Linked DNA regions of Macaca mulatta. The protein of the gene in region 3 purifies or fractionates together with the protein of the main gene of each other region. This does not show direct contact. Links are inferred from orthologs where the notes say so. Each region holds a gene or a part of one and is shown on either strand. Other genes may lie near its edges.

What was found.
Region 1: the proteins of LARP7 (region 3) and HNRNPR purify together in Homo sapiens (affinity purification with mass spectrometry; 4 studies listed by BioGRID and IntAct, with this or other methods). This does not show direct contact. The link is inferred for Macaca mulatta from reciprocal best matches to the Homo sapiens genes LARP7 and HNRNPR.
Region 2: the proteins of LARP7 (region 3) and HP1BP3 purify together in Homo sapiens (affinity purification with mass spectrometry; 3 studies listed by BioGRID and IntAct, with this or other methods). This does not show direct contact. The link is inferred for Macaca mulatta from reciprocal best matches to the Homo sapiens genes LARP7 and HP1BP3.
Region 4: the proteins of LARP7 (region 3) and H1-2 purify together in Homo sapiens (affinity purification with mass spectrometry; 3 studies listed by BioGRID and IntAct, with this or other methods). This does not show direct contact. The link is inferred for Macaca mulatta from reciprocal best matches to the Homo sapiens genes LARP7 and H1-2.
Region 5: the proteins of LARP7 (region 3) and ZC3H8 purify together in Homo sapiens (affinity purification with mass spectrometry; 4 studies listed by BioGRID and IntAct, counting the BioPlex papers as one, with this or other methods). This does not show direct contact. The link is inferred for Macaca mulatta from reciprocal best matches to the Homo sapiens genes LARP7 and ZC3H8.
Region 6: the proteins of LARP7 (region 3) and RPLP0 purify together in Homo sapiens (affinity purification with mass spectrometry; 3 studies listed by BioGRID and IntAct, with this or other methods). This does not show direct contact. The link is inferred for Macaca mulatta from reciprocal best matches to the Homo sapiens genes LARP7 and RPLP0.
Region 7: the proteins of LARP7 (region 3) and KPNA3 purify together in Homo sapiens (affinity purification with mass spectrometry; 3 studies listed by BioGRID and IntAct, with this or other methods). This does not show direct contact. The link is inferred for Macaca mulatta from reciprocal best matches to the Homo sapiens genes LARP7 and KPNA3.

The regions. Positions count from the first base shown.
Region 1 is NC_133406.1:217,691,843-217,695,342, reverse strand, and holds part of HNRNPR (heterogeneous nuclear ribonucleoprotein R), read right to left. Parts: intron 426-3,500; coding exon 276-425; intron 1-275. UniProt on the Homo sapiens protein: Component of ribonucleosomes, which are complexes of at least 20 other different heterogeneous nuclear ribonucleoproteins (hnRNP). hnRNP play an important role in processing of precursor mRNA in the nucleus.
Region 2 is NC_133406.1:220,174,014-220,177,513, reverse strand, and holds part of HP1BP3 (heterochromatin protein 1-binding protein 3), read right to left. Parts: intron 3,278-3,500; coding exon 3,178-3,277; intron 1-3,177. UniProt on the Homo sapiens protein: Component of heterochromatin that maintains heterochromatin integrity during G1/S progression and regulates the duration of G1 phase to critically influence cell proliferative capacity.
Region 3 is NC_133410.1:121,861,914-121,866,161, reverse strand, and holds the start of LARP7 (la-related protein 7), read right to left. Parts: upstream 2,801-4,248; 5' UTR 2,697-2,800; intron 2,413-2,696; exon of another isoform or gene 2,334-2,412; intron 1,008-2,333; exon of another isoform or gene 915-1,007; intron 212-914; 5' UTR 117-211; intron 1-116. UniProt on the Homo sapiens protein: RNA-binding protein that specifically binds distinct small nuclear RNA (snRNAs) and regulates their processing and function.
Region 4 is NC_133409.1:157,051,897-157,055,447, reverse strand, and holds H1-2 (histone H1.2), read right to left. Parts: upstream 2,217-3,551; 5' UTR 2,175-2,216; coding exon 1,533-2,174; 3' UTR 501-1,532; downstream 1-500. UniProt on the Homo sapiens protein: Histone H1 protein binds to linker DNA between nucleosomes forming the macromolecular structure known as the chromatin fiber. Histones H1 are necessary for the condensation of nucleosome chains into higher-order structured fibers.
Region 5 is NC_133418.1:22,389,403-22,393,675, forward strand, and holds the start of ZC3H8 (zinc finger CCCH domain-containing protein 8), read right to left. Parts: upstream 2,801-4,273; 5' UTR 2,693-2,800; coding exon 2,619-2,692; intron 1-2,618.
Region 6 is NC_133416.1:127,495,506-127,499,801, forward strand, and holds the start of RPLP0 (large ribosomal subunit protein uL10), read right to left. Parts: upstream 2,801-4,296; 5' UTR 2,753-2,800; coding exon 2,699-2,752; intron 2,445-2,698; exon of another isoform or gene 2,239-2,444; intron 1,610-2,238; exon of another isoform or gene 1,223-1,609; coding exon 1,047-1,222; intron 943-1,046; coding exon 855-942; intron 738-854; coding exon 591-737; intron 480-590; coding exon 294-479; intron 1-293.
Region 7 is NC_133422.1:28,954,097-28,957,596, forward strand, and holds part of KPNA3 (importin subunit alpha-4), read right to left. Parts: intron 2,419-3,500; coding exon 2,333-2,418; intron 1,073-2,332; coding exon 986-1,072; intron 634-985; coding exon 464-633; intron 1-463. UniProt on the Homo sapiens protein: Functions in nuclear protein import as an adapter protein for nuclear receptor KPNB1. Binds specifically and directly to substrates containing either a simple or bipartite NLS motif.

The DNA.
Region 1 (3,500 bases), on a different chromosome or scaffold from region 3:
TACCTTGTAATACTTCCAAGGCATCATGCTATCAAATCTTACAAAACAATAGAGATTAAAAATAACTTGCCTAAGATCACAAATTCAGTAATAATCTGGCTTTGAAATATGGAGTCTTATCTGTTATACTATTACCACTTAACAGAGATTAAATAGAAAGAGTTCAGCAAAAGCTAACAGTCAATTTTACTTCAGTTTTTAACATTACTTTACGTGTTTGGCAGGTTTCAGAAACAAAATTCAAATATCAAGAACCAAAATTTCAAAATTTCTACCTTAACAGCTGCTCCTCTGTCTTCAAAATGAACAAATGCATAATCTTTCAACTTCTTTACTCTTTCGAGTTTTCCAAATTCAGAAAATGACTTTTCCAATATTTCTTCTGTCACTGTAGTAGCCAAGTTTCTCACAAACAAAACTTTTACCTAGTAAGCAACAAATAAACAAAACTGTCATTGGCTACTTAATTTTACCTGAAAAGTGTTTCTTCCTGTCTTCATAGCATAGGCTTTTCTCCTCTAAAACATTAAGCGCTGAAAGTGTTGTTACAGGTAGTACGAGAAATTGCTAGGAAAATGACACTGATATCAGTCACCAATTTATAAAAATTATTGGTTCTTGCCTTCTCCTATGTTGTCATTAAAGCACCTAACACTGAATAGAACCTTCAAAGAACCAACACATAATTATTATTGCTAATCAACAAATTTAACATGGTCTCCAAGTCCCTTTCAAAACAAGTTTTTCTGTTTCTTTCCTCTAAAACTGAATAACTTTCAAAAGTTCATATGAAAAAATAAACAAACAAGAATAACCAGGAAAAAAAAGAGTGAAATTTAGAGACTGGCCCTACCGAATATAAACAAACTATAATGCTTAAATCATTAAATCAGGTAGTGTTAATTAGAAAAAAAGGAGAAAAGCTGGTCCATGCCTCACACTATACACCAGGATAAACTCCAAATAGATTGAAAATTTAAATAATAAAAGGGTGGAGGGAGAACTGTGAAAGTATCAGAACAAGAATGATTCCTTCATGTAACACTGGAGTGGGGATGACCTTATGACTTAAAATCTAGGAGCCATAAGAATGATATATAAAAATAAATGACTTCTATATTGCAACAAATACTGTAAGCAAAGACAATAAATATGGATGAGGTATTTGCAACATGTATCACAAACAGCTAATCTCTCTTTTATATCAGAGAACCAGAAAATAAGAAAAAGCTCAACAACTGAATAGAAAAATAGGCAAAATTCACGAATATGTGGTTCATACAAAGAAACACACATGGCTCTTAAAATATATTTAAAGTTCAAACCATTCATAGTAAGAGACGCAAATCATTAATCATTAATGGCACTGAGACCATTTGTTATCAGGTTGGCAAAGTTCAAAAGTTTGATCATACACTATTTTGTCAAGAATGAGGAAAATAATTATCTTGTATTTTGCTAGTAGGAATGTAAAATAGTGTATCTCCTACAGACAGGAATATGGCAGTATCTTAACAATTACAGATGTATTTACCCTTTGGCCCACAATTCTACCCCTAAGAACTATCCTACAGATATATCTCCACTTGTATCAACTAACATAAACTTATTCATTCCAGCATTGTAAGAGCAAAAGATCAGAAACAATTCAATATCCAGCTGGTTAAATACACTATAGTACAGAATAGACTACTATGTAGTCATAAAAAATGAAGAAGAGGGCTGGGCACAGTGGCTCACGCCTGTAATCCCAGCACTCTGGAAGGCCGAGGTGGGCGGATTGCCTGAGGTTGGGAGTTCGAGACCAGCCTGGCCAGCATGGTGAAACACCGTCTCTACTGAAAATACAAAAATAAGCCAGGTGTGGTAGAAGGCACCTATAACCCCAGCTACTCGGGAAGCTGAGGCAGGAGAATCGCTTGAACCCGGGAGGCAGAGGTTGCAGTGAGCCAAGATTGTACCACTGCACTCCAGCCTGGGTGACACAGCAAGGCTCCGTCTCAAAAAAAAAAACCCAAAAAATGAAGAAGAGCTCTATGAGCTAACAGAGATTGACAGGGTACACTGTTTTTCCTGTTTTTACATCTCTGAAATAAAGAAACAACTTACAGTCAATGTGATAAGCAAGTACTGTGCCATAGTTTAGTTGGCAGTGTTTTATAACTACTTAGTGGTTCATATAATAATAGTGTATTTTCTCAGAGCTGATGAAACAGGATGGTGAATAAACAAAAAGTAGATCAGTGAATATAGTAGGCTGCCAACATTACTACCACTCATGTAAGAATTAAGGAAGTATATTCATATTTGCCTAAGGAAATACTAAAAAGATAAACCAGAAACTACTAAAACTGGATGCCTTATAGGGGACAAAGGGGATTTGGTAGACATAGGCATAGGGGTAGAAAGGAAATTTCTTTGTCTATACTTTTCCATATAACTTTTAAACTAAGAAAATATAGTACCTATCCAAATAAAAAACTAACATATTGAACAACTTGTTGCTTCAGATACAGGACTATCTAATAAGAAGTTACTAATTTAAAGAGGAAAAAAAACTAACATTTTTCACAAATGCTCCATCCCCTTTATTATTCTCAATTTATCATACTAAGGTCCAGCCTCTATGTTACACAGACTCCCACTGGCTCAGTTGCTTTTAAAAAAAATTCAACATGGAATTTTCTATGATGAAACTGTTAACATACTATATCAAAATCACTTACTGAAACTGTGTTTAAAATGTTCAACAGGAAAAAGGGTCCCTTTAAGAGACATATATTTAGGCTTTTAGGTTTTGGTACATTGTAAAACTGACCCAACTTGGCAAAAAAATCTTCAGTGAATTGTAAATTGATAGTGTGAATAACAGAAGCTTTACTCAAATGGATAAACTTTTCTTTTCAATTACGAAACAGTAAAGGAGCTGGGTGCAGTTGTAAGCACCAGTAGTCCCAAGCTACCTAGGAGGCTGAAGCAGGAGGAACGCTTAAGCCCAGGAGTTCAAGGCTGCAGTGGGCTATGATTACACACGTAAGCAGCTACTGCACTCCAGCCTAGGCAACATAATGAGGCCCAATCTCTTTAAAAAAAAAAAAGAAAACAATAAAGGGCTCTACAATATTTAATCCTAGGTTTATGGAGGCCTCATTTTCATTCCAAAACCTGTTTTAGATTTACGAAAACGGAGTTACCAGAATAAAATCTTGAAGTTTTCTAACCCTAAAAAAAGATTAGGATGAACTTCCGTCTGAGCAGCTACTAAAGGTTATGTGAGAAGTGGCTGGTAAGCAAATTACAAGCTATACTTTTGGTTTTCATGGGATTTTATTCCTCTTTTATAATATGTAATACATCTATAATGCTATTTTAAAATATTTTCACAGAAAAAGCAACACAGGCTATTTAGTTACTACAGGTGGATTCAAAGTTGTGGTGATCTTTAGAGACTGATCCAGGCTCAATAAAATAGATGACATCCGTGTTTAGTAGTTTACCCA
Region 2 (3,500 bases), on a different chromosome or scaffold from region 3:
CTTTATGTCACTCAAGTTGCCTGGTCAGGTGGTTATCTATTATTAGAAAAATAGATAGACCAGGAAATTACACAGAAAGGAAAACTCATTTCATCCCAAATGATTTAATTATTCTACTTTGCAATATTCATGAGACTTATAATTAAGAAATTAGCCATTTTTTAATTCAACAGTCAAATCTCAGAGAATAAGTAATAAAAAACTCATGTATTCTCCAAGAGGATGACTGAAGCAAGAGTAGAAATATGAGAGGGGAACATGGAGGTCTGCTGTTATTTGTGCCTTTCCTTCACAGCATGTCTCTGAGCAGCTACTACAAAACACAGAACCCCAGGCACTGGTTATGCAGGGACTTCAGAGAACTCCAAAAAACAACAACAACAACAACAACAACAACAAAAAACAAACAAACAATCACACACACACAAAAGAAAAAGGACTCCAGGGAGGCCGAGGCGGGCGGATCACAAGGTCAGGAGATTGAGACCACGGTGAAATCCCGTCTCTACTAAAAATACAAAAAATGGCCGGGCGCGGTGGCTCAAGCCTGTAATCCCAGCACTTTGGGAGGCCGAGACGGGCGGATCACAAGGTCAGGAGATCGAGACCAGCCTGGCTAAATACGGTGAAACCCCGTCTCTACTAAAAAATACAAAAAACCAGCCGGGTGAGGTGGCGGGCGCCTGTAGTCCCAGCTACTCGGGAGGCTGAGGCAGGAGAATGGCGTAGACCCGGGAGGCGGAGTTTGCAGTGAGCTGAGATGCGGCCACTGCACTCCAGCCTGGGCGACAGAGCGAGACTCCGTCTCAAAAAAAAAAAAAAAAAAAAATACAAAAAATTAGCCGGGCGCTGTGGCACGTGCCTGTAGTCCCAGCTACTCAGGAGGCTGAGGCAAGAGAATGGCATGAACCCGGGAGGCGGAGCTTGCAGTGAGCCGAGTTCGCGCCACTGCACTCCAGCATGGGCGACAGAGCGAGACTCCATCTCAAAAAAAAAAAAAAAAAAAGACTCCAGTGGCAAGCATATACTTCAAACCAAAGTATATGATTGAAGAATTTGATCATTTAAATTATGTGAACTACTTATTGCAATAATGACAAGGACTTCTTTGTGGCCTACACATAAAGAGAATTTTAAAATGCCACTTCTTTCTTAAAACCAAATCGCATAAGTACAATTCTAACACTTATACTAAGCGAGTGATTTCCATCCTCCTTTGGCCTTCTCTGCTTCTAAAATTGTTTTCCATATGCTTAGGATCACAAAGTATTATGGACAGAACTTCACTGTAACAATGGTATCTGGGGATAAAGATAGTAACTGCATTTAGGTTTTCCAAAATAAAATGTATTTTTCATCATGATATATCTTGTACTGCCCCTCACACCAACAACTTGACCTAAATTGCTGCATGGGCAAGAATTTACTATTAGTTAGTCATGTTTATTTATACTTTGTCTTATTCTAAAAAAGATGAAAAGCTAAGAATCATTCACGGGTTTTACTGCAATAAGACTTATAAATTTAATTTTACATTATTTTCTCTTCTCAAGAGTAACTGCTCAAGAGTTATGGCTTAAAGTTCAGTCACTCAACGGATACTGAATATGTAGTTTGTATATGACTGTTTCCAACTCACCGAACTACTGTCTGTTTCTGGGTAAAATGTAGAGTTTATAAAATTTAAAATGAGTGAAGTCTAATTTCTATGTACAAAATACTATGTACAAAATGGGATAGAGAGAAGATTAAACAAACATACAACTTGTGAAGTGACACTGTTTCTTCATAAACTCTTGGTTGACTTTTCTAATACTTTACCTCTGAACCCTCTGGCACATATTCTGAAAACTGATGTTATTAGTGATTTAGTGGCTTCAGCTGGCTGTTAAACATGGATTAAGATGGACCACCAAGCGGCTTATCCCACTGCTGGACAAGATAACCTATCTTCAACTCACCAGCACCCATTTACTTTTTCAAATATTCGGATTCTCATGTTTCTTAACTGCCTTAGGCTAGGGTGCCCAAATTGCTTACAGCATTCATCGAAGGATTTAGAGAAAAAAATCCAGGCTCAGCCAGAAAAAAGAGTATATTGACTCATTATTGATGTCTGTCCTGATGCACCAAGGGATACAGGAAACAAGGATGCACGTATTTTCTATTCCTTTTTTTTTTTTTTTGGAGACAGTTTCCCCTGTTGCCCACGCTGGAATACAATGGCGTGATCTCAGCTCACTGCAATCTCTGCCTCCTGGGCTCAAGCAATTCTTGTGCCTCAGCCTCCTGAGTAGCAGGGATTACAGGCATGCACCACCATGCCCAGATAATGTTTGTAATTTTAGTAGAGACGGGGTTTCACCATGATGGCCAGGCTGGTCTCGAACTCCTGACCTCAGGTGATCTACCCGCCTTGGCCTCCCAAAGTGCTGGGATTACAGGCGTGAGCCACTGTGCCCGGCCCTCTATTCCTAATACATGCTAGTCAGCAAATAATTGATTCTAACAGCCACAACAGAGGCAGCACAGTGTGCTCATCCCTGAAAAACTTGAGATAAAAGGCAAGAGAAAAAGGCAAAAAGGGAAAAGACAAAGAAAAAAAACAAAAAGATCATGAGAAGAAAAATAAAGACGGGAAAAGGAGAAGAGATGGTTATAGACGCCATAAAGGAGCACCAGCACTCCATACTGATGGGTTTATATTTCTTTCCATTTGTTAAGCTCCCACCACTGACTTTTCTCTACCGATACCTGTTACAGATCAACAGATCACCATTTGCTTCTCTTAAGGCCTCCAGATGATTTCTGGATGAACTTTCCACGTCTATCCTAAAGGCCCACGTTTTCCATTCTCCCACACTGCATTCATCCCCATGACACTTTATGTCCAGAATGCTACTCTTTGGCCATTCCTGTCATCCCCAACCATTTTTCTGTTTTTAATTCCAACATATCATTTTCACCTTCCAAAAATCTTTACAGAGAAGATGAAATCTTACTTTGCCCTCATGGTCTGGCAATGACATACCAATAGCTACTGATTCTCTCTCCAAATGTTTCCCCAAAACACTTAGCCATGAAAAAAAGAATAATTAAGTTCAAAGGAATTTATGGGACACTCCAAACTGCAGCATAACTTTTGATGTTTTAAGTTGTGTCACCATTTTACTTTACCTGGCTTTTCTTCCTCCCCTTCAGCAAGCTTGCTTTTGGGAGGAGTTTCCCGGGTAGAATTCACAGTTCGACGAATCGGCATGGTGCTATCTTCTACCTTCTAAGAAAAGAGATGGCCATAATCAAACATGCATTAAAAAATTGTTTTATCTCTTTCTCAAAAGGCCTAACTGGGTGTCAGAAGATGTAGGAGAATTCTTCAAGTCGACTCCAGGATCTGATGCAAATTACTTTTAACAAGTTTTTTTGAAGTGAAATATGATTTTTAAGATACACTTTTTAAAAGTATGTTATTTTAGCTTGAATTTCAAATGGAAACACAT
Region 3 (4,248 bases):
TGATGCTTCTGTCAAAACTTGCAACATTAGAAATTCCTTAGCACCTTCCCATAACATAATATGCAGTTTAAGAAAACATTGTTTAAAAAAAAAAAAGTCACGACGCAGTGGCTCACGTTTGTAATCCCAGCACTTTGGGAGGCTGAGGCGGTGGATCACGAGGTCAGGAGATGGAGACCATTCTGGTTAACAAGGTGAGATCCCATCTCTACTAAAAATACAAAAAAAAAAAAAAAAAGAAAACAAATTAGCCGGGTGTGGTGGCGGGCGCCTGTAGTCCCAGTTACTCGGGAGGCTGAGGCAGGAGAATGGCGTGAACCCGGGAGGCGGAGCTTGCAGTGAGCCAAGATTGTGCCACTGCACTCCAACCTGGGCAACAGAGCAAGACTCCAAAAAAAAAAAAAAAAGTAACATTTTAGTTGCTTTAAATGCAGAATAAAAGCTACTGGGTAATAATACCAGTAATTTTATATACATTTTTGTAAATCCTCACAATCCCACTAGGTAGCAGTTTCTTCCATCTTCTTAATACAAAAACTCAAAAAAGTTATGTGACTTGGCCCAAGCTAGCTAAGTAAATTATCCCAGGTATGTTTGATCCCACATTGTCTACCTTTTGTTAGAATTTCCTGCAATTTATCACCATGGACTCTATGTTCTGACTCAGGAATTCTTAATCTGAAGTCCATGCAACTTTGTCTGGACAAGAATTCTTGTGGGCTCCGTTAAATTGTAAATAATACATTTTAAAGATAAGGTAAAATTAAGACTCTTGTACAAATATAAAATGGAATACATGGTAAAGATTTAAGCACAGTCATGGGTTGCTTAATGACAAGGACACATTCTGAGAAATGCATATTCAGGTGAGTAAGTACATTGTAGGGTATGTAGTTATTGTATGATGTACTCACCTACAAACCTAGGTAGTATCGCCTACTACACACCTATAATCTTATGGGACCACTGTCATACATGCGGTCTGTCGGTATGTGGTGCTGGACTGTAAATAAAGGAATCAGTTAAGTGTTAAAAACCAGTTCAAAGAAGAATTTAAAAAGCAGGTACGGCCGGGCGCGGTGGCTCAAGCCTGTAATCCCAGCACTTTGGGAGGCCGAGGTGGGCGGATCACAAGGTCAGGAGATCGAGACCATCCCGGTTAACACGGCGAAACCCCGTCTCTACTAAAAAATACAAAAAACTAGCCGGGCGAGGTGGCGGGCGCCTGTAGTCCCAGCTACTCGGGAGGCTGAGGCAGGAGAATGGTGTAAACCCGGGAGGCAGAGCTTGCAGTGAGCTGAGATCCGGCCACTACACTCCAGCCTGGGCGACAGAGCCAGACTCCTTCTTAAAAAAAAAAAAAAAAAAAAAGCACGTACATAGGCAATAAGGAACGTTGAAATAAATATTAATAAATACTGCTCAGAATAATAATTAATTGCATCTTTACTGGACAAACTCATTTCCATGTTGTTGTAGCGGGTTACATGGTTGAAAAATAGTTCAAAGATCACGAAAGACAGATAACCTGGAAGACTGAGTTAGACAGGACACCAAGTCATTTGTGTGTGTTTGCTATTTAAAATTATTTCGTAATTTTTCCTGAGGAAATTATATGCGAAATGTTTGTTTGGAGACGGAGCCTCTCTCTGTCGCCCAGGCTGGAGTGCAGTGGCGCGATCCTGGCTCACTGTAATCTCCACTTCCCGAGTTCAAGATTCTCCCAACCCGGCCTCTTAAGGGACTACAGGCGTGCACCACCACTCCCCGCTAATTTCTGTGTTTTTAGTAGAGACGCGGTTTTGTCACATTGGCCAGGTTGGTCTTGAACCCCTGACCTCAAGTGATCCGCCCGTGTCGGCCTCCCAGAGTGCTGGGATTACAGGCGTGAGCCACGGTGCCCGGCCTCGCAAAATGTTTTAAAAGGTACATACATGTTTTCCTGAGAAGCTAATCCATAACTTTTATTAGGTTTTCAAAAGCGTTTCACAACAGGTTAAGAATCATTGTTCTAGTCACTGCTTACAATTCAAGTCCCTCAACACGTAGTGGCCTGTGTCTTCTGCTTTGTCTGAATCTTCTCGTCTAAATTTCCTTACTAAATTTTCAAGGCCCAGGTTAAATGGCATCTTACTCTTTGAGATGTTCCACCACCCTGTGTCCTCTAATTAACTGCCTCCTCATTTGTTTTCGCTTAAGTTTTTTTGCTAACGCACTCTGCACACCGTATCTAGCACTTGTTAGTTCCCTTCCATAACTGGATTTTTAACTCTTTGAGGACTATGGCAGAGTCCTGCAAAAGAAGATGATAATTTTAGAATATAAATCCTCACGTTCACTATCCTCTGGCAGCCACAAGTCAGCTCCAATCTGCGAAATACTGCACTGTCTTTACTGACTACTGCTTCTCTCGGCACCCGTACTTCCACAAGGACAACGTCATAGGCAGGGCGCGCCCCAAACCTCCCCATGCTGGGCCCCTATGCGCCCCTACTCTCTGAAAACGAGAACTACAAGTACTGCCGGAAGACTTTTGCGCGTGCGCATAGATAACTAGGTCAAGGAATTGATGGATGCGCAGGCGGGAGGCGGGGTAAGAAGGACGACAGATGATAGAGTGGACCGCAAGAAAAAGGACGGAGAGTTAATCAGACGTCGCCCAAGCTGTGCGACCCTATACGCCGCTTGTAACTTACTCCGTTCAACTCCCAAAATACAGGGTCAAGTACTGCGGCCTTCAGCCCTTTCCGTCTCCCGATCCTGATAGTCTTGGTTACTTTCGCGTCATAGGATGAGCGACAACGTTCGCCGGTCCCGCTCGAGAAAGACGGGCCCAAGGCATTGCGCGCGCCACCTACGTCACAGGCGAGGTGGTTCCGGGAGGGCGGGGCATCGGAGAGCGCGGCCGGCTGAGAGCCTCGAAGCCAAGGAAGAATTTGATTGGCGGTTTGAAAACGGCGGTTTTTGGCTTGGGCGGAGGTGGACGGGCCAAGTTTTGGGTCCTCATCTGGTGAGGTCCCGCGTTAATGACGTCACATTCTTTCGCGGGAAAAATTCGAAAGTGGATTTTCTGTAATTTTGACAGGTGAGGTGAAGTGTTTCTCGAGCTTTCCTAGGAATGGCTTGAGCGATTTGGGGCGAAGGGACAAAAGACTCTGCTCCGTAAGAAGAGAACCGGGAAGGATGCTGTTTGGAACCAGGATTAGTAACAGCTACTCGGACTGCTTGTAATAAGGGTTGCCTCTTCACCGCTTTTCCCAGGCCCTGCTTTGCAATTTCGAGTACGTATGAGGACCAAAGGGGACTTTGCTGTTCGTATTTAGGACTGATAAAGGATCGAGTCTCCATTGTCATTTGGTGACACAGGATTATGGTTATTAGAATCTTGGCAAATGATATGTGGGTTTCCTTTGTTTATTTGGACTGGATGGTTTCTTAACAATGTTGAATTCGTGATTCCAAAACTTTGTTATCTGAACTATTTAGAGGTTCAGGGTTAGGTTCAAAAAATCCTCCTTGTCTAAAAACAAAAGGAAAAACATCTTGTAATTAAATGAAAAATGGCTCATACTTTACTGAGAACACCGAGTTTTATGTATATGTATTGTATCTGTACATATCGTAGCACAAGGTATATATATGTGTGTGTATGTACGTATATCTGTATATGTATGTATGTATATAATTATCACAGAACATTTGGGATCTTTAAAAACTTCTTTGGAGATTAATCTTTCACCTGTTAGAAGTCGGTCAGCAGGTGAATTGGCTGGTAGACGTGGACAGATGAACACTTGGAAAAAACTCTTTATCTTTGCATCTCACTTAAATATATGATGCTGGTATCTTAAATAATTTTTTCTGATTAATGCTAAGATAAGAAAGGGTGGCCGGGCGCGGTGGCTCAAGCCTGTAATCCCAGCACTTTGGGAGGCCGAGACGGGCGGATCACTAGGTCAGGAGATCGAGACCATCCTGGCGAACACGGTGAAACCCCGTCTCTACTAAAAAATACAAAAAAAAAAAAAAAAACAACTAGCCGGGCGAGGCGGCGGGCGCCTGTAGTCCTAGCTACTCGGGAGGCTGAGGCAGGAGAATGGCGTAAACCCGGGGGGCGGAGCTTGCAGTGAGCTGAGATCCGGCCACTGCACTCTAGCCCGGGCGACAGAGCCAGACTCCGTCTCAAAAAAAAAAAAAAAAAAGAAAGGGTGTTGACTTTCAGTGAAGAAGTATTAGAGCTCTTGTAGA
Region 4 (3,551 bases), on a different chromosome or scaffold from region 3:
CATGAAATTTTAGCCTATTAGCCTATGACAAAAATAGCCAAAATTGATAGGAGTGTGGAGGGTGACACGGAAGGAAGAAGGGGGAAGCAGAAATGAAAGTTCATAAATGGTCTTGGGAGAAAATATGTCCATATATTAAACCTTACACCAAAATAGAGTTCACCATGTAAACCGTGTTGTAATGTAAAATTAACAACACAAAATTACTTAACCCATGGGAGAATGCTTTTTCCTTCTTCCCTGCCTCTGCCTCCCTGTCTCTCTGCTTGCCTCCCTCCCCTTTCTCCCTTTCTTGGGATGAATCCGTGGTCACTATCACTAACAGAGAAATTAACTCACTACATTCATCATTGTGGAGATGGTAGAATAACTGAGCAGCTTATCTCCAGAAGTCCCGGTCCACATAATTTAGGTCTCACCGAAATGTGCCTATCAGATTTTAAAAGAACCGAATATAAGACGCTAGGTTTTCTGTATTCAGAAGCACCATGGGTGTCAAATAGAGGGAACCATTAACGAAGGCCTTTATTAGAAATGTCTCTCATTTATCCATATACTTTAGTTAATAGTACAAATCGTTCTCCGCGTAGAAACACTTGGACTGCCAAACAAAATGTGTTTAAAAGAACTTCGATTTTTAAATGTTGATGTCTGCCTAAACTGAGGATAAGTAACCGTCAAGCGAGGACAAAATGGCTGGCTAAAAGTTGTGCTTTCGATACGCTCAAAATCGATACGCTCAAATCTGTCAGTTTAGCGGAACACTACATGCATGATATGAGAAACAAAAAGCTCCCTAGGTCCACGATTGCCTTGGGTGGAGGAAGGGCTATTGCCGCTGTTTATTCAAATGCATTCCTTTGTTACCACAGGAATGAGAAATTAACAGCAGAGGAATGTAGGACAAAGGTACCTGCACGCACTCTCCTCCCAGGGCTGGATGTTGCCACTACCTCCAGGAGATACCAACTTGACTACCTACAACATGGAAAGCGTCCGAAATCCCGAACGTTAATATCAAGAGGCAAAACTTTCAAGTCACAGAGAAGCAACACACACGGAATAAGCAACGTCTGCCACCATCCAATTAAATATAGAATTAAAGTCATGGACTAGAACGACGGACCAACCCAGGAGCAGGGCGGGACTTTTGAATTATTTTTTAGTCCAATCCGGATATCCCTTTAGACGAAGAAACTGGCTCTTGTTTTGCGATCTTTTCTGCCTTTCACAGGCCTGGGGCGTGGCTGACTGCCATCCCAAAAACATCCGCCAGCGGGAAACGCCTCGAAGCAGCAGTCAGGGACATGGAAGTCGCAGTAAAGGTTTAAGCGCCGTAACCTCACCACGGCCACTCTCGAACCCCCGTTACTTATTTGTCTTATAAGGTTCCCGTTCGACTAACCTTAAGGAGCAGGGTCGAGCAAGAAAAGGAACAAGGGCAACTAAGAAAAACAAGTATCCAGCTCTTTTATTGAGATCAGTGGTGGCTCTGAAAAGAGCCTTTTGGGTTTTTTGAAGCAGGCGTCCACCTATTTCTTCTTGGGTGCCGCCTTCTTAGGCTTGACAACCTTGGGCTTGGCGGCCTTGGGCTTCACGGACTTAGCAGCACTTTTGGCAGCTTTCTTGGGCTTCGCAACCTTGGCCTTCTTTGGGCTCTTGGCCACTTTCTTGGTCACAGTGGCCGCGGCCGGCTTCTTCGCCTTCTTCGGTGTTTTCTTAGCGCTCTTCTTCGGGGTAGCGCCGCCAGTCGCCTTCCTAGGCTTCTTAGCTGCCCCAACCGGCTTCTTAGGCTTGGCTGCGCCCACCTTCTTAACCTTGGGCTTGGTTTCGCCGGAGGCTGCCTTCTTGTTAAGTTTGAAGGAACCAGAAGCACCGGTGCCCTTAGTCTGCACCAGAGTGCCCTTGCTCACCAGACTCTTGAGACCAAGTTTGATTCGGCTGTTGTTTTTCTCCACATCATAGCCGGCGGCAGCCAACGCTTTTTTCAAAGCAGCAAGAGAAACCCCGCTGCGCTCTTTAGAGGCTGCCACCGCCTTGGTGATGAGCTCTGACACCGGGGGACCAGATGCCTTACGAGGCGGCCCCCCAGATTTCTTGGCTGTTTTCTTCTTTACGGGGACTTTCTCCGCCGGAGGCGCGGCAGCGGGAGCGACAGGAGCAGTCTCGGACATGTTGAGGATCAACAACTCGGGTACAAGTGGCAAAGCGCCGATGAAACAGCGCTTGGGCAGGGCCGCTGTATATATAGAGCGCAGGAGCGCTCTGATTGGTGCTCTGGTGGCCCGCCTGGCTGGCAGGCTCTGAGTCGCTGCGCTGCTCCCAAGTTGTGTTTGTTCCACCTCACAAAAGGGGAAAAATATTAAAATTCCCTGCACCAAATCACCCGGATTTGGTCAGGAAAGGATCTCAGAAGCCTCGGGCTTCAGGCTTTTCATTTATTTTTTCCACAACCACAAAAACAACGCGTCCAGGCGTCCCCAATTCCCCCAACTCCGAAGGAAGTCTGGGGCAGTCAGAGACCACTTTCTGTTTTTCTTATAAATTACCTGTTCGCTCCTTTGCCCCTGAAAGTTCTTTTTCCCAGGGGTGGTTGGGCACATGCTTCCCTTATTTTTGAAAAAAAAAGCGAAATGGTTTCCACCTAAATTTTCATGATAATTCTGTTTCTTCACAAGGGAAGTAACACAGGTCCTGTGTGAATTCTTCCTGCAGACGCACAGGAACTGTGGACTGGGACAAGGATTCCAGGGCCAGTCCAAAGTAATTAGGGAGGGATGGGAGGGGGTTCATGAGCCTTGGTAGGGTCCGGTGTGGTGGGGGGCTAGAGACTTAAATCTTTGATTTGAAGACATTGAAACCATCAAATCCTTCTTTTCATAGATGGGGGCGGGGCATCCTTTTCACTTCTCTACAGGCGAGAAATTGGGCTCTTTTTAAAAAGCTCTGAGGTCCCCCTCTGAGTTGTGTAAGGCAGGAGGTCTGGCTCTCAAGATAGAGATAATAAAGGAACAAGGGAGATCCCTTAAGCCTGCAAAGAAAGCCAATAGATTTGGCAGTTAGAGGCACTGAGATAATATGTTTTCAAAGAAAACAAGCATTTATTTATTTATTTATTTTTGTACATTGCAATATTAGAGATGAATTTCAGCCCATGAAAATTAGAGGTTACTTTCAATAACCACACCTTACACAAGTTACCGTACAGGACAATCTCCAGTTTGAAACTCAAATATATCTTTGAATTGCAAATAAAGCAACTGACTTTAATAAAACAAACTCTTGACTTTTAAGATGAACAATATATTTGAAATTTATTTTTTAAATAGCAAAAATTTACACAGAAAGATAGGAAAAGTACCAGAACATGTAATTTATTATAAGATCTTTTGTTGATGAGCTGAAAATCACCTCTTCTTTTCCCCTCTGAAACTATTCTGTTCTCAAGTTTACTACTTTAAGGTTCACTACTTATTTTACTCTCCGACCCCAAGTAATTGCTATTTTTTTCTAGAGATTAAAGGCAAAGTAAGTTGTCTGCCCATACCTTT
Region 5 (4,273 bases), on a different chromosome or scaffold from region 3:
AACCTTAAAGTCAATCTTGATTCCTCTCTTACATCCCCATCCAATCTCGGAGGAAATCCAGTTTGTTCTATCTTCAACATACCCACATTTGACCACTTCTTGCCACTAATACAACAATCCGAGCTGCTCTGGCACCCCTACATTCTACTCTCAACACAACTAGAATGACCCTGCTAAAATATTTCAAATGTCACTCTGCTGAAAAACCCTCCAATGGTCTGTTGTCTCATTCAGAGTAAAAGCCAAAGTCCTTATTTTGGCACCTACCAGTTACTCCATGATTGGGCTCCCATAACCCTACCCCAATACCTCGCAGACTTCCAAGTCCCTCTTACTCCACCCCAGCTGTCCTTCTGGCCACTCTGCTCCCCTAACGCAATCACACCAAGCTCACTTCCCCTGAGGACCTTTACACAGACTCCTCTCCACTCCTCTAGACTATGAAACCCCCTCACCTCCTTCAGGTCCCTACACAGGTTTTTAAAACTTACCAACGTTATCAGTGAGGCTTTCCTTATCTACCTTCTTAAAATATCTACACCCGCCTGGCCGGGCACGGTGGCTCACGCCTGTAATCCCCCAGCACTTTGGGAGACGGAGGTGGGTGGATCACGAGGTCAGGAGATCGAGACCATCCTGGCTAACACAGTGAAACCACATCTCTACTAATACAAAAAAATTAGTCGGGTGTGGTGGCAGGCGCCTGTGGTCCCGGCTACTCCGGAGGCTGAGGCAGGAGAATGGTGCCAAAGCAAAAGGTGGAGCTTACAGCGAGCTAAGATTGCACCACTGCACTCCAGCCTGGGCGACAGAGCAAGACTCCGTCTCAAAAAATAAATAAATAAATAAAAATAAAAAAATAAAAAAATCTGCCCCCTCCCTACCACCCCAACAGTACTTATTTTCCCCTTAGCCTTCATTCATTTTCTCAGGGTATTTAAATACGATATATTTATGTATTGTTTGTCTCCCCCTCCCCCTAATAACGTAAATTCATTAGTACAGAAATTTTCATCTCTTGTTCATTTACCGCTATATCCCCAAGGCCATAGCAGGTGCTGAATACGATTTTTTGAATGAATGAGAAGTACTCCCATCACAAATTACTAGGAAAAAAACCAGAAACCATATGAGAAAAGACTGATTCATTTGACTGGATAAAACAAAACCACAACATCCCCATTCCTTTATACCTTGAAAAATAATGCCATAGGCATGACAATTGGGAGTAAAGTACTCTCAAATAAGAGATCCTAGAATTTGAAAAAGACCAAAAAGAAGAAAAATGGGCAAATAATATGGACAGCTCACCATACTTCCATACCATCCTTCACCCATCATTTTGGCAAAATTCCAAGTGTCTTTTATGTATTGCAGTCAAGTTTTTGGGAATAGAATTTTCGTCCAATACACTTTCAAACTGATAGCTGCTGTTGGGATTTTTACATGTTGTTATCTTTTTTTTTTTTTGGTGATGAATTCTTATGTATTTTACAACGTATCAATTAGTTCCAGTTATTTTTCTTAGTAAATTATATCATCTGCAAGTAATTAGAGTCTTTGTCTCTTTCCAATATTTATAGGCCTTATTTTATTTTAGTCATTTTGCATGAGAAGCTTGGTGATAAAATCATGGGTCCTGGACATAGTTTTTCCACTTCCACTGTGCAATCTCGGCAGGTTATTTAGCCTCTCCGTGCCTCATTTTCCCATTTGTAAAACAAAGACAGCATCATCTTCAAGTTTGTTTTGAGGATTAAATGATTTCATGTAAAGCACGAGGTAAAGCTCTGGATGATCAGTTAAAATTTGAGATAGAGTGAACAGCTGAGCAATATCGAGAGGTAAAATCAACCATAATTGGAAATATATCTCAGTTGAGGGAAATAAAAGACGTAGGTTTAAGAACAAAGATACTTTTTAGCATTTCAAATTCAAAGAATAAAAAGAATGAACATCTATCTGGGTGTAAGCACTATGCACTGCTCCAAAAATGAAATCTACAAATTAGGGCCATTTGACCAAAAGTCTCCTTTGCTTTTCCAACCTAATGGAAATTTTAAGTCCAAATGATGTCTGTTGCTTTATTGTGGTCTTTAGGGTCTTTCCATGTCAATCGGTGGACTAATGGCAGAGTATTCCCTATTCTTTACCTTTTAATAAACTTGTGATTTCGTCCTTTCTACAGAAAAGAGCCTAGCATGTGTCAGTGAAAAAGGTCCAATCAGTGTCCTCTGGGAGTTTACGGTCTCGTGGAACCAAGCAATAGTAAAGACAGACGCTACCGGACCACAGAAGCGGGCTCCTAACCCGCTGCTGTGCAGAGAAAGGGGCGCATCCCGGAGCCTTCTCGCTTCCACCCCGCTCCCCCGCCCAGGCTCTCGGCAGCCCCGGCCGTGGCGGCCTACGCCTGAGCCCCGTGTTCAGCTTCTGCTCCCACCCGGACCCTGCACGACCTCTATAGGTCAGACGGTGGCGTCCGGCCGGCCCACGTGCTCCCCACGGGCTCTCCCGACGCGGCCCGGACGTGGTTCCGGACGGCCTCCAATCCTGAAGAAACTAAGAGGCGGAGTCCCGCTGAGCCCCTGCATTCAAAGGATGAAAAGATGGGGGATCACCTTTCGTCAGAGTCCGTGGCCGTTTTGCCGAGGGCCGGGTTGGGGGGTTTTGAGAAAAGATTCTCAAAATCCATGACCCAGACAGGTCCTCCCTTTCGCGAGCCGGGAAACTACAGAGTAACAACCCGAGAGAGTGACAACTGGGACGCGACAGGACGGACCCAGAGCCGCACCAGGGCCACAGGCTCCGCCCCGCGCAGCCCCACCCACCCCGCACATGCGCCGAGCCGCCCTCCGCGACTCTGGGCAAGCCCGCTCCTTCCCTGCCACCTTCGCCTCGGCTCTGCGCAGGCGCCGCCGTTGTTGCCCTTCCGTAGGCTTTTTCGTCTATTACCTCAGATAGTAGACTTTAATTTAATTAAATTACTTAATTTATTATTTATTTATTTATCTATTTTGAGACAGAGTCTAGCTCTGTCGTCCGGGCTGGAGCGCAGTGGCATGATCTCGGCTCACTGCAACCTCCGCCTCCCGGGTTCAAGCAAGTCTCCAGCCTCAGCCTCCTGAGTAGCTGGAATTACAGGTGCATGCTACCACGCCCGGCTAATTTTTGTATTTTTAGTAGAGACGGGGTTTCGCCATGTTGGTCATATTTTTAGTAGAGACGGAGTTTCACCATGTTGGCCAGGATGGTCTCGATTTCTTGACCTTGTGATCCGCCCGCCCCGGCCTTCCAAAGTGCTCGGATTACAGGCGTGAGCCACCCCGACCGGCCCCAGCCCAGAATTTTTAAAAGGATTTGTTAGGATTCTGCTTTCACCTTGGTGAAAACTGTTCCATCAAAATCACAGTATTTCTAAGGGATGGTAGTAACAGCTAACATTGATCTGAGCACTCCACTACTATTCCTTAGAAATAGCGTTTCATATGTTAGCTAACTTAATCCTCACAACAGCCCTGTAAAAGATGTTCTATTACCATCCACATTTTTGAAATGAATAAGCAGATATGTAGTCTGGTAATGTAACTTGTAGGGTCTCTACAATTGAATGGGATTAAAATGAATACACAAGTAACCTCAAGACCGAAAAGTCCATTAAAAAGTATCAAATACTAAGAGGATTCAGAAGAGGGAAAAAATTGCATCCAGTTGGGAAGGCTTCTTGAGAAGGGAGTATTTGGGCTGGGTCTTGAGATATTTCCATAGGAAAAGATGAAGTTAAGAGTAAATGGGCATTCCAAGTAGAGAGAATTGTATTAAGGCAGGAAAACAGAGCATGCTGTTGCAGAACGGGGAATTGCTCAGTTTTGCTCAGTGTAATACCATTTAAGGCAATAGTAGAAAGGAAGGCGCAAACCCTAGTTTGGGCCAATGATAGAGAACCTGACTTGCTTCTGTAAGTGAAGGAACTGATTCTTGGCATGAGTCAGGATCCCTCTACCAATTAGTGAAGGGAACTATATGAAGCCAGACATCTTCCCTGGGGAAATTCTACTTTCCCGTGTTGTTTATGTTATAGGCAATCACCTATGGAACATGAATCATTACTAAAAATGGAGAGGAAAAAATGAATTAAGGAAATGAAAACTAGAATTACTCCCTCTTTAGCAGGAAGCACTATTATAGAACTCAAATGGTTACTATACACATTTTTTTATATAAAATGTCCAGCATACAGCAAAAGATAACCAGACACAAATGAAAATTCGATTAG
Region 6 (4,296 bases), on a different chromosome or scaffold from region 3:
TGGAGTGCAGTGGCACCATGTCGGCTCACCACAACCTCCGCCTCTTAAAGGGCATTTTGATGGCAAAATTTGACAGTCTTATTCCTGGCCCTAGAATAACAGCCCAGCACTGTTCTAAGACTTTACATCCATTAATTCATTAAATCCTTCAACAATCTTATGTTGTTATTGACATTTTACAGATGAGGCAGGTAGACAGATGAAAACACAGTCCTTGGTTACAGGGACTCAGTCTGACCCCTGTCATGCTCTCAACCATCAGTGTAAGAGGGGGCAAGGCTGAGAGCATGTACCTCCAGGAAGCGAGAATGCAGAGTTTCCTCTGTGATGTCAAGCACTTCAGGATTGTAGATGCTGCCATTGTCAAACACCTGCTGGATGACCAGCCCAAAGGAGAAGGGGGAGATGTTGAGCATGTTCAGCAGCGTGGCTTCGCTGGCTCCCACTTTGTCTCCAGTCTTGATCAGCTGCACATCACTCTGAACAAGGTAACAGTGGGGCAGTAAACACCTGGACAACCAACAGACCCATGGCCACTAAAAGCAGCCCCCCATTTGCCTGATTAGCACAGGCAAACCAGGTCCACTCACCAGGATTTCAATGGTGCCCCTGGAGATTTTAGTGGTGATACCTAAAGCCTGGAAAAAGGAGGTCTTCTCGGGCCCGAGTCCAGTGTTCTGGGCTGGCACAGTGACTTCACATGGAGCAATGGCACCAGCACGGGCAGCAGCTGGCACCTGACAAAGACAACAAACAGTGAGAAAAGCCTCTCCACTCATACAACCTGAGAATGGTCCATTTTGCTTTAAGAAGCAACTACAAAATCTCTTTAGCCAACTCAATTGTCCCCTTACCTTATTGGCCAGCAACATGTCCCTGATCTCAGTGAGATCCTCCTTGGTGAACACAAAGCCCACATTCCCCCGGATATGAGGCAGCAGTCTGCAAAGAGAAGTTTACAGGAGAAAATCACCTTTCAGCACCATTCTCCAGGAAGAGGGAGACGGGCACTGGGGAGGGAGGACAAAACTGCCAGTGGAACTGACTTCTCCAGAGCTGGGTTGTTTTCCAGGTGCCCTCGGATGGCCTTGCGCATCATGGTGTTCTTGCCCATCAGCACCACGGCCTTCCCTCGAAGGGACATGCGGATCTGCTGCATCTGCTTGGAGCCCACATTGTCCGCTCCCACGATGAAACATTTCGGATAATCATCCAATAGTTGCTACAAAAAACAAGTCAGAGGAGCCAAGTTTAACAGGAAGAAAGAGGGAAAAAAATGCCAGGAGAAACTGAACCCCACAATTTGTTTCCTTCTCACTCCCTTTCTTCTAAGCTTTTGAAGTCAGAGGGAGAGTGGGAGCTACGTTGTAACACTGCCAAACTGGATGACTGGTTTGCTGGATATGAATGCTGAAAATCAGGTTTCTACATTCTATCAAGGAGTTTTTCCTTTAATTTTTTTTTTTTTTTTGGAGATGGAGTCTCGCTCTGTCCCCCAGGCTGGAGTGCAGCTGGGACTACAGGCGCCCGCCACTTCGCCCGGCTAGTTTTTTTGTCTTTTTTAGTAAAGACAGGGTTTCACTGTGTTAGCCAGGATGGTCTCGATCTCCTGACCTCGTGATCCGCCCGTCTCGGCCTCCCAAAGTGCTGGGATTACAGGCTTGAGCCACCGCGCCCGGCCTTTCCTTTTTTACTTAGTTTTTTTTTTTTCATTTTTCCCAATTACGAGGGAGGTTTCCGATTCACTAAAATGGTTATCAGGATAAAAAAAGGAATGTTCCAAATAAGCTGGTCAAGAGGGCTAGACTCACAGCATTCAAAGCACAACGTTAAGCAACGTTATTACTTGTAAAAAGAATCTAGACGTGTATATCCTGATTGTTGTACAATTCTTTCGAGTTTTGTGTCTGAAAACCTTTTAAGTGTGGGAAAACGTAATACAAGCTATGCTCTACAATGCTGCCTAATTGCTTAAGCGCAGTACAGTCAGCGTTTCTGGGCAAGGAAGACCCACCTCAAAGGCCATCCAAGTCACTGGACACTTAAGTTTCTTGACTGACAGGTCCTAAATATGCAACAACTTGCTTCCTTACAATGAGTCACTACTGGCCTCAGACCTTCTCAAAGATACAGTAAAAGTAGAATGTGCGGCTGGGCGCAGTGGCTCACTCCTAGCACTTAGGGAGGCCGAGGCGGGCAGACCATGAGGATCAAGAGATCGAGACCATCCTGGCCAACGTGGTGAATCCCCGTCTCTACTGAAAATACAAAAATTAGCTGGGTGTGGTGGCGCGCCCCTGTCATCCCAGCTACTTGGGAGGCTGAAGCAGGAGAATCGCTTGAACCTGGGAGGCGGAGGTTACAGTGAGCCAAGATCAAGCCACTGCACTCCAGCCTGGACAACACATCGAGACTCCGTTAAAAAAAAAAAAACAAAAAAGGTATAACGTGCGCTCTTTTGGAAGCCAGACAGACCTGGATATGAATGCTGTCATCTTAGGAGCCACTTAACTTGCCTGAGCCTGTTTATCTGCAACAGAAGGGACCTATCTCAGGAAATTGTTAACTAAACAGGATTTTCCCGAAAATGGCCTAATTCAGTAACCGGTACTGAATAGACCCTCAGCACATGGCAGCTGACTGTCCCTATTTGCGCTGGGGCAACATGAAGGGCAGAGGCGACCCACCCTGCACTTACGATGATCTTAAGGAAGTAGTTGGACTTCCAGGTCGCCCTGTCTTCCCTGGGCATCACGGCGGTGCGTCAGGGATTGCCACGCAGGGTTTAAAGACGATGTCACTGAGGAGAGAGAGGGAGCTCAAGCCTGGTCACCCCGACACCCATTCCCCGGTCCTGGGCCTACGAGGAGCAAGACACGCGCAAGCGCCCGCCGGCTCTGCCTAGGGCAGCCGCCGCCATCTCGGGGCGTGCAAGCCGCCACCGAGGCCCCAGGCGGAACAGGATAGGACTCCACGTTCCCAAAATCCCCCAATGACCCCTCCATGCTTCCCGCTGACGCCCCAGACGCCGATCTGGCCAGCGCACCAACCTTCCACGAGGACGCCTGGCGAGAGAAGGGCCTCGCGCCCGTGCGTGCGTTTTATATGCGAACAAAATAGCCAATCAGAAACCGCGGATAGCGCTCCTGTCTATTGGCTGGAGCCATCGCCCGTCCGACAAAGCTGAACGAACACAGGCAACCATTGGATAATGTCGCTGCCACTCGAACCAACGGAAAGCCGCCTTAAAGTAGGGTAGTGAAGGAAGGCGCTGCCTCGCGTTGGAGGAGCTTGCTCTGAGCTGCTGCCACCTGCGGGGCTGGAGCTGGAGCTGCGAATTCGGAGTCTCCAGTTCCCTCTGCCACCTGGCGAGCTCGGCAAACTGAAAGGCATGAGATGAAGCTGAGACGTAATTGCACATGCTTAGAAACCGAATGATCTCTTGTCTTCTCTAGTTTGTTTTTCCTCCTACCAAAACAGAGGGATCTTTAAAATCTGGCCGGGCGCGGTGGCTCACGCCTATATTCCCAGCACTTGGGAAGGACGAGGCAGGTGGATCATCGGAGGTCAGGAGTTCGAGACCAACCTGACCAACATGGCGAAACCCCGTCTCTACTAAAAATACAAAAATTAGCCGGGGGGGTGGCGCACGCCTGTAATCCCAGCTGCTCAGGAGGCTGAGGCAGGAGAATTGCTTGAACTCAGGAGCTGTGAGCTCTGCAGTGAGCTGAGATCGCACCATTACACTCCAGCCTGCGTGACAGAGACTCCGTCTCAAAAACAAACAAACAAACAAACAAAAACCTAAGTCAGCTCATCTCCTTATCTGCTCAAAACTTTCCATTTCCTCCAGAGTAAAAACCTAAAATCTAAACTACCTACAAGGCCCTACCTATCTGCCCCTCACGCCCACTCTGATCATCTCAGATGTTTTCCTCCTGACTTACTTGCTTTCCACCCGATGATGCTCTGCTGCTTTTCCAGAGCAGGCTTAACTTGGGGGCTTTTGCATTGGCCATTCCCTCTTCCTAGAAAACTAGCCAACAAACATCCATAGAGTAATTCACCTCCATCAAATCTTTTTTTTTTTTCCACCTCCATCAAATCTTTTTTTGAGAAGGAGTCCCACTCCGTTGCCCAGGCTAGAGTGCAGTGGAGCAATCTCAGTTCATTGCAGCCTTGACCTCCCAGGCTGAAGCGATCCTCCCACCTCAGACTTCCAAGTAGCTAGGACTACAGGTGCACACCACCATACCAGGCTAATTTTTTGTACTTTTTATATAGACGGGGTTTTGC
Region 7 (3,500 bases), on a different chromosome or scaffold from region 3:
TCATAGGGGTCAGTAACTAAATACAGTATGTTACTTTAAAAATCTCACACCGGGTGTGGTGGCTCACGCCTGTAATCCCAGCACTTTGGGAGGACGAGGCAGGCGGATCACGAGGTCAGGAGATCGAGACCATCCTGGCTAACATGGTGAAACCCCGTCTCTACTAAAAATACAAAAAAATTAGCCAGGCATGGTGGCGGGCACCTGTAGTCCCAGCTTCTCAGGAGGCTGAGGCAGGAGAATGGCATGAACCTGGGAGGTGGAGCTTGCCGTGAGCCAAGATCACGCCACTGCACTCCAGCCTGGGCAACAGAGCAAGATTCCGTCTCAAAAAAAAAAACCCAAAAAAAACTCACACCTGCAATGAAATCAGTATATGTGTTATTCTGTCCCCTGTAAATGAATTCCTGAAGTACAAACATAGGGAAAATATACCATCTGGCCTTTACAATTCTTCATTTACCTCCTGAACTGTCTCCATAGGCGGTGGGGGATCCTTATTCCTGCAGAGATTGACAATGACCCATGTGACGTTCCGAAGGAAGGTGATGGGAATGGAGGGATTGATGAAGGACAGAAGAGGTTTGACAACTCCCAGTGATATGACATAATCTCTACATTGAGGACCATCACCTACAGAAATGAAAATTGTATTTAAAAAAAACTTACATTCAGGATGAGAAAGTCTGAAATGTATGCAATGGCTCATGTGGGAACACTGACGTTCTATGTTTCCTCACCATTAGTCAAAGGCATCAAATGTTGTTTCTCCAGATTTTGATTTGGGGAACATAAATTTAACCTACCAATGCTAACAGCAAATTGTATATCCTTTTCAAAGAGTATCATCTTAAGTTAGTACTTATGAAGCAAGAAGAGAGTCAACCCACATTAAATTCAGAGGAAACATAGTATGTAATGGCTATGCCAATGTAGGAAAAAAGTTAATTTAGATTCTTAACAGGATTCCTTTCAAACCACTTACCTATAATGTTTCCCAAAGCCCATACTGCTTGTTCACAAACATTCTGATGTGGTGAATGAAGAAGTCTCAGAAAAAGAGGTACTGCATCTGTTATAAAGAAAAACTAATATTTATACTAGCAACATGTTGAAGAGTTTACAGATTTCAGCTCAAAGAAATTGATCAAATACAGAGCCCGGCATATTGTAGCTGCCCAATTATAGTTTGCTGGAAGAACAAATGTGGCAAATATCTTTACCCTAAAAATAATCAATTTCAGTATTTTCCCCTAGTAATATTTAAGTAGTTTTTTTTTTTTTTTGCTGTATCTGTGTATTACTCCTGGGTTCACGTCATTCTGCCGCCTCAGCCTCCCAAGCAGCTGGGACTACAGGCGCCCGACACCACGCCCGGCTAATTTTGTTTTTGTAGTTTTAGTAGAGACAGGGTTTCACCGTGTTAGCAAGGATGGTCTCGATCTCCTAACCTCGTGATCCACCCGCCTTGGCCTCCCAAAGTGCTGGGATTACAGGGGTGAGCCATGGCGCCCGGCCTTTGTTTGTTTTTGAGACAGGGTCTCACTCTGTCGCCTAGGCTGGAATGCAGTGTGCAATCTCGGCTCACAGAAACCTCTGCCTCCTGGGCTCAAGCGAACCTCTCGCCTCTGTCTCCTGAATAGCTGGGGCTATAGGCACACGCGCCACCATGCAAAGCTAATTTTTTAATATTTTGTAGAGACACGATTTTGCCATGTCACCTAGGCTGTTCTTGAACTCCTGAACTGAAGTGATCTGCTTGCCTTAGCTTCCCAAAGTGCTGGGAGTAGAGGCATGAGCCATCTGTGGGTCTGGTGAGAATGGTATTCTCAATACATGATTCAATGTAACTTAGTGCCATATCACATGCTACTTAAAATCACCTTGATTACCACACCTAAAGTTAGCTAAGTGTCCCATACTATAAGAAACAACATACGTGGTGATATCTAGTACTTTTCTAAAGAGCTTGTGTCAGTTTCATTTAACAATAATTATTAGCACACCTTGAGGAAAGTAAAATTTAAAATGTCATAAGCTAAAAGGCAGAAGCCATTCAGCATCCTGAAGATATCAGAAATGGAAATTTAAAATCCTGTTATCACAGCATGATGTCTACTCCAAAAGATAAAACTCTACTCTTCTTTTAGTAACCACAATTAAAATTTTTTCATGATAGATTAATAATGGCTATGAAAAAGATATTGGTCATCAAAAGTAACTTATAAAAGTCATCATTTAAAAAATATTACAAGATAAAATTTATTACAAAATTCTACTTCCTTGCCATCATTAAAAAATAAAAAGTTCAGACAATAAGGAATTTACTTACTAGACTGCACAACAGCTTGAGTCTGTGCAGAAGTTCCTGATGCTATGTTAGTTAATGCCCAAGCAGCTTCAAACTGTAATGAAGGACTGTAAAAAAAAACAGTAAAACATCTTTTTAGACACTAACTACCACTTAAATTCATGACTCTTAAGACTGATATGATATGGCTATCCTTTGCCTTGTCCTTGAATTTCACCTTGTTATAATCCAACTGCCTGCTAGCCATCTCTACTTTTGTTTTTGTTTTTGTTTTTTTGAGATGGAGTCTCGCTCTGTCACCCAGGCGGGAGATGCAGTGGCACATCTTGGCTCATTGCAATCTCCGCCTCTGGGGTTCAAGCAATTCTCGTCTCAGCCTCCCAAGTAGCTGGGATTAAGGTGCACACCATCACACCTGGCTCATTTTTGTACTTTTAGTAGAGATAGGGTTTCACTATGTTGGCCAGGCTGGTCCTGAATCCCTGACTTCAGGTGATCTGCCCACCTTGGCTTCCCAAAGTGCTGGGATTATAGGCAAGTGCCACTGCACACAGCAGCCATTTCTACTTTAAAAATCTCTTTGACCTCCAAAGCCAGTCACTATGAACCTGCTTCTTTATGTCCACTGGTATTATAACATTCAGCCAGTCATTATTTCCCTTGACTTTGACTTCCTCTCCAGACACATCTAATCAATATATCATGTCAATTTTACCTCTTAAACATTTCTTACATTTATATAATCACCCCTAATATCAAGTGCTAGTTGAGGCCCTAATCATCTCACTTTAACCACTATCACAGGCTCTAGGCTGGTCTTAAAGCTAGAACCCCATCTGTCTCCATTACACCATCTGCTTTACATACTAGGGATATTACAAGGCTGTATAATTTTGTTGAAAAAACAAGATCACTATATTTTTGAATAGTGATGGAAGACCTCACAAAGAAAGTGGCAACTGAACTAGCTTCTCAAAGATGCGTTTAAAAAGAAAGGCAGTGACAGCTGGAAATAAAAAAGGTATCATGCATGGAAGGATCATGATGTGTAGGAATGATAAGGATTAGATCAAGAGAGCTGAAACTAACTAAGAAGCAAATAACAGGGTGTTTGTGCATGTGTGTGTGTGTTTTAGGATGGGAGTGAGGAGTGTATTCCACAGATACGCTAAGGATGGGGCATTGCAAA